Ovis aries: one gene and its partner. The protein of the gene in region 1 purifies or fractionates together with the protein of each later gene. This does not show direct contact. Links are inferred from orthologs where the notes say so. Each region holds a gene or a part of one and is shown on either strand. Other genes may lie near its edges.

Evidence for each region.
Region 2: the proteins of ASB9 (region 1) and CUL5 purify together in Homo sapiens (affinity purification with mass spectrometry; 6 studies listed by BioGRID and IntAct, counting the BioPlex papers as one, with this or other methods). This does not show direct contact. The link is inferred for Ovis aries from reciprocal best matches to the Homo sapiens genes ASB9 and CUL5.

The regions. Positions count from the first base shown.
Region 1 is NC_056080.1:13,444,444-13,447,995, reverse strand, and holds part of ASB9 (ankyrin repeat and SOCS box protein 9), read left to right. Parts: intron 1-3,359; coding exon 3,360-3,467; intron 3,468-3,552. UniProt on the Homo sapiens protein: Substrate-recognition component of a cullin-5-RING E3 ubiquitin-protein ligase complex (ECS complex, also named CRL5 complex), which mediates the ubiquitination and subsequent proteasomal degradation of target proteins.
Region 2 is NC_056068.1:17,272,175-17,276,522, forward strand, and holds the start of CUL5 (cullin-5), read left to right. Parts: upstream 1-1,528; 5' UTR 1,529-1,957; coding exon 1,958-1,981; intron 1,982-4,348. UniProt on the Homo sapiens protein: Core component of multiple cullin-5-RING E3 ubiquitin-protein ligase complexes (ECS complexes, also named CRL5 complexes), which mediate the ubiquitination and subsequent proteasomal degradation of target proteins.

The DNA of each region.
Region 1 (3,552 bases):
TCAGAGAATCAGGTCTGGCAGAAAAGGAGCTCTTTTCAGGAGAGTTTGGTTGACAAAGGCTAAATTTATGTCATGAGCTGGGTCTCTGGGTGATTATGTCTTAGCAGGGAATTAGGAACATGTACTGGAGCTGGGGATTTAGATTTGAAAGCAATATGTAATATATAGAGGGTATTGAGAGACAAGAAAAGGATTTGGGGGCAAATCCTTGAGGAAATGCCTGCATTAGGAGATGTAACGAGGAGAAGAACAGAGTTAGTGAAAGAGACAGAAAAAAAGGCAGTCAGAGACTGGAGATAATTTCAGGTAGAAGTCTGTGTTAGAAGCCAGGGCACAAGTTCCATGAGGTCAGGATGAATATGTTGCAGATTCAGAGATGGAAGGAGGTGGGGAACAGAGCAAGGCATACTGGATTCTGAAAGTCACTGGTGGTCTTTAAAAGCGGTATCAGCAGGATTCTGTTGGTAGAAAATGAGAGAAGGTATAAAAGTAGAGATAATGAGGATAGACTATTTTTGGAAAAAAAGGGGGGCCAGTGAAGGGATGAAGAGCCTTGAATGGGTGCTTCTCAGAGGGTCAGGACTGAGGGCTGGGAGGACTTTGAAAGCAAAAAGAAAGTGTACCTGAAGAGGAGCGAGCAGGGGAACGCATGAGATGAGAAGGTAGATGAAGGAAAGTCCTGGGGGTGGTGGGAGGACCGGGTGAGGTCATGGGCTATTGGACTGAGCTCATCAGTTTCTCCCACAGAGAAAGGAGCAATGGGAGAAAAGAAGACTGGAGAAATATAAAGAGATGTTAGGGGTGGAGAGGAGGGTAATGTAGAAAGCTCTCACATCAAATGGCTTTGACCTCCTTGGTAAAGTAGGGAGGAAGTGATGTGTTTGGATGAATGTGAGTGAGATGGAGGTTTGTGATCTTCCTTTCTGCTGAGTGTAGAGAAGGAAGTGATAACTGTGGATAGGATAAATGATAAAGCCTAACCTTCTTGTGGTTGGTTGGTTGTCTGAGTAGGCATATGATTTGGAGCTGAGACAGAAAGTTGCCAGGTACTAAGCACTATGTCACCCATGGGTGCCCTGGTATTGCACAGCCCCATGGAATCATCAGAACTTCTGACTCTACGCTGAGATTAGGGGACAGACAATTGATGACAGAAGAATTAAAGGTCAGCTATTCGATCCGTTTTTTTCTGAGAACCCACTGCAGACTGGACCCTCTCTGAAGTAATGGGTTAAACATTACCTTAAATGGTATATGATTCAGACTTGACAATATTTCAGACAAACTGCCTCAGTTCATTTCAAGTCAAAATTGCATATCTGTGATGAACTGTAAATACAGTCCTCAGTTGGCACAGGGAAGCTTAATTTAAAGGAACTTCTTTGTAATGTGAATATGTAATGAGTGGTGAACATTTTTGGAATGTAAATAATTTCTTTTTTGCTTTTTCATTTACCTGGATTTATGTATAAGCACCTAAATGATTTTGAAATGGCAGTAGTGGCTATAGGAGTATATTTGTGATAGAGGAATTCTGAATAAAGAATTCCTTTAAAGAATAGTCTTCTATCATCTCATGATCTGTAGCACAGAGAAAAATGCAGTTAACATTTTGCTGTGAATTTCTGGTGTATTCTACCAGTGTGTGGGGAAGAGGCTGGATAAACAGAGAACGCTGAGAGTGGGAAAAGAATGGATTTGAGAACAGATCTTTGAGAGGAATGCCTTGAATAAAATAATGACAGTAATGAAACAGAAGATGCTACACTGTGAAGTCCATGGGAAGTGCTTGTGAAGGGAATAAATGCTACAATTCAAATTTTTCTCGAGTCAAGGGGTTAGGGAGCATTTGTTTAATACAGATGGGATTTGAGGTTGTGAAGGAAGGGAAGATACAGCCCTATCCCTCCCTGCAAACAGCAGAGCTAGTATGGCAAAGTGCTGAAATGGATTTTCAAGTTTCTTGTTTACAAGCAGATTATTTTGAGTCTTTCAGAACCCCTTCCTAGACCCACCTTAAAAAAATATCTCTGGATCTGAGATCCTGTGAACTCAAGTGTGTGTCCAGAATGATGGGATATATCAAAATGCATGACTTGCCTGTCAGAGGGTAACAGCCCAAAGGACAGCATGACTGGGGGGCTGAAAAAAAGGCCCACAAAAGTAGAAGAATGTGTGTTAGGGATGATGGTGAGTGAGATAATCTAATAGAATGATTTTAGGCAAATTTATTCCAGAAAAATTTATTTATTCTGGGCTTCCCTAGTGGCTCAGATGGTAAAGAATCTGCCTGTAATGCAGGGGACCTGGCTTCGATCCCTGGGTTGGGAAGATTCCCTTGGAGAAGAGCATGGAAATTGACTCCAGTATTCTTGCCCAGAGAATCCCTTGGACAGAGGAGCCTGTTGGATTACAGTCCATAGGGTCACACAGAGTCAGACTTGACTGCAACGACTTAGCCTGCATGCATTCTGGGAAGAAAAGGTATAATATTGAGTTGACCAAAAAGTTCGTTTGGGTTTTTCTGTGACATCTTACAGAAAAACCCAAATGAACTTTTTGACTAACCCAGTATTACCAAGATGTTGATTAAACTATCCATGCTCTTAATTGACATATGCTAAGGAAAAGAACTTTGATTGTACCTGGTTTCTTCCTGTTAGGAATAGATTATATATTCTAAGATCAGGGAGTCTGTGGAGCCTCTCCTTGAGTTCTTTTGATGTTCTGCTTGGATTAGGTTCAGGATCCATCTCTTAGAGAGCACACTTTCCAAGAGGTTGAAGAACCCCACGACCTTTCAGACACTTTCTTGCTTCTTTAGCGCTAGACTACTGGAGTGAGAGTGTAAATTGTCCCTTTGCCTCTCTGTCCATGGAGGTTCACCTAATGCTTTGGACTGTCTTGGTCATGTTTTGCTGTGTAACAAAGTACCCTCTACGTTAGTGGCTTCATGTACAGACATGTATTCACAGTGTCTGTGGGGCAGGGATTTAGACACAATTTACCTGGGTCAGGGACTCTTATGAATCTGCAGTCAGAAGAATATATATTGGCTTCCCTGATGGCTCAGCATAAAGAACTCTCCTGTCAGTGCAGGAGATGCAGGTTCGATCCCTGGGTCAGGAAGATCCTCTGGAGAAGGAAATGGCAACCCACTCCAGTATTCTTGCCTGGAGAATTCCGTGGACAGAGAAGCCTGTTGGGCCACAGTCCATAGGCTCACGAAGAGTCAGACACCACTGAGTGACTGAGCACATAGGTGAGCCAGGTGAACTTTTGAAAGAATGTGGATTCATGGCTGAGCCCTACAGAACTGTTCCAGTGCACTCCTCACTCTGCCCATTTCCCTCCTCCAGGGGTGGCCGGTGAACCTCATCACGGCAGATCGTGTGTCTCCATTGCATGAAGCCTGCCTTGGAGGTCATCCCTCCTGTGCAAGCATATTATTGAGGCATGGAGCTCAGGTAAGTACAACTCAAACCCCATCTTCGACGCCACTACTGAAAAATGACTATTTCTATCCCTTCTAAATACTTTCGAGCATTTTTT
Region 2 (4,348 bases), on another chromosome or scaffold:
TGCAATGATTGCCCATCTCACTGAGAATAAGAGCCAGTCTTTGCTGTGGTCTACAAGGCCCGAAAAGGCCTTCTGCTCTTCTTACTCTCTCTCTAAACACACTAACCTTCTAACTAACTGTTCCTCTGAAACTCTGGGCAACTTGCCACCTGTGCTCCCCCCATTGCTGTCCTCCCAAATATGTCCTGGCATTCTCCTTCACCGCTTTCAAGTCTTTTTGCTCAAATGCCATCTTCTCAGTGAGATCTACTTGGATCCCTCTGTTTAAAACTGCATTCCTCTTCTCTGCTTTATTTTACTCTATTCAGTTCAGTTCAGTCGCTCAGTCGTGTCTGACTCTTTGCGACCCCATGAATCACAGCACGCCAGGCCTCCCTGTTCATCACCATCTCCTGGAGTTCACTCAGACTCACGCCCATCGAGTCCGTGATGCCATCCAGCCATCTCATCCTCTGTCGTCCCCTTCTCCTCCTGCCCCCAATCCCTCCCAGCATCAGAGTCTTTTCCAATGAGTCAACTCTTCTCATGAGGTGGCCAAAGTACTGGAGTTTCAGCTTTAGCATCATTCCTTCCAAAGAAATCCCAGGGTTGATCTCCTTCAGAATGGACTGGTTGGATCTTGCAGTCCAAGGGACTCTATAGCTCTAACTTATTTCTCACATTTTATGTATGAATGAACAGTTCGGAAATGTGTAGAATACAATACTGGGTATATTGTTCAATTCAGTTCAGTCGCTCAGTTGTGTCCGACTCTTTGCGACCCTGTGAATTGCAGCACGCCAGGCCTCCCTGTCCATCACCAACTCCTGGAGTTCACTCAAAATCACGTCCATCCAGTCGGTGAGGCCATCCAGCCATCTCATCCTCTGTCATCCCCTTTTCCTCCTGCCCCCAATCCCTCCCAGCATCAGAGTCTTTTACAGTGAGTCAACTCTTCACATGAGGTGGCCAAAGTACTGGGGTTTCAGCTTTAGCATCATTCCTTCCAAAGAACACCCAGGGCTGATCTCCTTTAGAATGGACTGGTTGGATCTCCTTGCAGTCCAAGGGACTCTCAAGAGTCTTCTCCAATGCCACAGTTCAAAAGCACACACAGGTATATTGTAGATTCTACATATAAATTATATTCCCTTTATTTGGCCAGTGGTTTGAGGTCTGAAGTGATAAAGCGTAGGGGTCTTAGGGTATAGGATGTGCTGGTATACCTGATCAACCTCTTAGAGGTTATTTCAGTGCCAGGCCCTCTTGAGTAGAAATATTAATAGTTAACACGTTCGTGCATGGATTCATTGATTCATGCAAACAAATATTTCTTGGGGCCCTTCTATGCGCCAGTTCTTGAAAACAGCTATTACAAGCATTTCACTCAGGATAACGTCTTTTTCGTAACCTCCCCACAGCACGCGGCGGTGGAAGACACATACTCCTGCCAGCAGAGGGCGTCCCCTCGCCCTCGCGGCGTGTTCTGGGCCCACGACGCTTTCAGGCTCCCACGCTCGCTCCCGAGCGCGGCCCCGCCTGCCGCGTCACGTGACGCGGCCGCCGAACCAGAGCGGCCGGTCCCAAACCGAGCTAAATTCGTTGCCAGTGGCCTCTGCGGGTGCCACCACAGAGGCTCATCTGAAGGAGTGGGGAGGCTCGTGGAGCCGATGCTTCCTCTTCCGATTTCAGGTCGGCTCCTGTTCCCTCTCACCTTTCGCCGCTGCCGTCTCCCCGAGTGTTTGCATGAGCTCTCTCGTACGGGGAGGCCCCGGTGACCATGTAGGGAGGGAAGAGCGAGGAAGCTCCGGGAGTGAGGGACGAGGTCAGCGCTGTGTGCACGCCGGCGCCCACCACATCCACAGTGCGGGCCGGGGGGCCCCTCGGCCCAGGTGGGACACTCGGGCCTGCAGTAGTGGCCTGGCACGGAGCTCCACGAAATCTCGCGCGGTCTCGCGAGAGTCTAAGTTGAAGGAATATGGCGACGTCTAATCTGTTAAAGGTAAGACCCTCAGTCCGTCTTGGATTTCTACTCCGGGAGCGGTGGGTTCAGCTCTCGGGGAATGGCTCGGTTCTGGTTCAGCGGCGAAATGGGGGAGTGTTCAGGGGTTGTCTACCGGAAGGGAAGCCAGGGAGGCAGCCGCCGAGGAGTGGAACGCGATTCTCCGGCCTTGGGGTCGAGAGGCCCTGGTTGTCCCTGGTGCCGGTTGCCTGGTGTATGAAAGGCCCGGCCGAGGGCCGACGGCGGGCAGTGGTCTCAAGGGGCCAGCGCTGGCTCGGGACCCCGGAAGAAAGGTGGTGCAGCGTCCTGACGGATCGGTCAGTTAGTGTCCTTAGGGTCTCAGTTTCTTCTGAAGCGGGAGTCTTGAGACGCATTAAAAAAAAAAAAAAGAAAAGAAAATCCCAGAAAATGTTGCTAACAGGTTTTAATGACTTGGATCCCCACCTCCTCAGTTTCTCTTCTCATTCTGTCTGCGCGGAATTCCAAGTCAGACGGCAGCGCCTGAAGCCCCAACTCCCTCCCTTAACTGCGGGCTACACCTTCTCTTCTGTTCTTCCTTTCTTGAGTTCGTATGTTTACCCTTTTTAACTTAGGAAACTGTTCCTCAACCCCATTACAGCACGCAACCAGATGACTACAGTGGAAGCACTGCCGTTGTCTTAGGGCTTAGGAAAGTTGCCTTATCAAAGACAACCGTTAAAGTTAGTTTTATGTATTTGGGATAGCAAGGGGGATCTAGGCCTAGAGAAGCGGATTCTTTACCATCAGTTACAAAGTTGAGAGGAGAAGGAGGAAGACCTGACACTAGTTTCGTCTGTGGTATGTTTGTAGTAGGCAATACTTTATACCTTAAAAGTACTACTGAAATGGGGGTAGTGGATGAACTACTTCTCCCTCAAAAACCCTGTCAATTAGGCCTTCAGACAGTGTTGATAGAGAATAGAAAATATATTAAAACTTACTGTAACCTCACTCTTGTCTTCTTTAGACTACTGATACTAACTGTATTAGTCCCTCTAATTTTACTAATTTTAGAGGCAGTGTGTCTTCTTTTGGAGAAGGGAATGGCAACCCACTCCAGTGTTCTTGCCTGGAGAATTCCATGGATAGAGGAGCCTGGTCGGCTACAGTTCAGAGGGTCACAAAGAGTGACACTACTGAGCAACTAACAAACATATATACACCGCCCCCGCCCCTCCCCGCCCCGCCCCTCCCCTCCTACCCAACCCCGTGTCTTCTTTTAAAAGAGGGAGGGACCTAGAACTAGACCTAATTTCTGCTACTTAGAATTTCTGCTCCATGACTTTGGGCAAGTTTCTCTCCGTTCCTGAGTTTCCTCATCAATATAGTGAAATTATCAATAGCACTTACTTCATAGGAACTTTGTGAAGATTGAGTTAGTATATGTATAATCTTAAAACAGCGACTGGATCTTAACTGGCATGCAATACACATAAATTGCTACAGTTACTACTGCTGTTTCTCTAAGAAGACAAGTTCATGGGAGTTGAGTAACTCACTTCTTTTATAGCAGTATAGCAAAGTTCTAATATATTAATTCAGAAAGAAAACTAACTTGCAAAGACTCCTGTTAATGTATCCATGTATTTACATAACCAATAGTGTATGTTATTAATTGAAATGTGTTGAAGAAGTAATTGTGAATTTTTGACTTACTGATAATGTGGATGTAAAGCAAAGTCTTTTTTTCCTCCCAGATTTGTGTCTCAGGAAAGAGTGAGTCACTTTATTCTACTCCATACAAAGCCTTACAAAGCATTGTTTGGAGGAGATAAAAGTCTGAAGCTCCTTCGTTCAATACTCTTAAGTCGTTACCTTGTAGAGATTATGAATCTGTATGTATAGCACACACCCACCTATAAACTGAAAACACCTGAATGTATAGAAATAGGTGCTTAAGACTTAGGTTAAAAAGATCATAATTCGAGCAGTTCTGTAACTCAACTTTTATAAATAAAAGGAAAGTGATAATGTTCTGACAAAACTGGTAAAAGTCACAGTCTCTAGGGAATACAAAAAGATGACAGATACACTGGAAAATTTTCAATAAAATTATTTAATGAGATGTTGAAAAGGGGGTAAAAGAATTTCTCAATATTTTATGTAGTATGTGATTTTTAAATACATACAACTAACAGTGGATATTATAAGTAGACATTTGATTCTTTTATCTGTATCACCAAAAGTTTCCTTATTTACATTGGTCAGAAAAGTTTTTTTTCCTTTTTTTCTCTCCTCATTGAAGTGTGTGGATGGGGGGGATGGCGGGGGTTGTCTTGTATTTATGCCTTTAGAAATATTTAATGAAAAAGTAGGAAGTTTGTCTTGGAGAAATGGCAGGGAGAC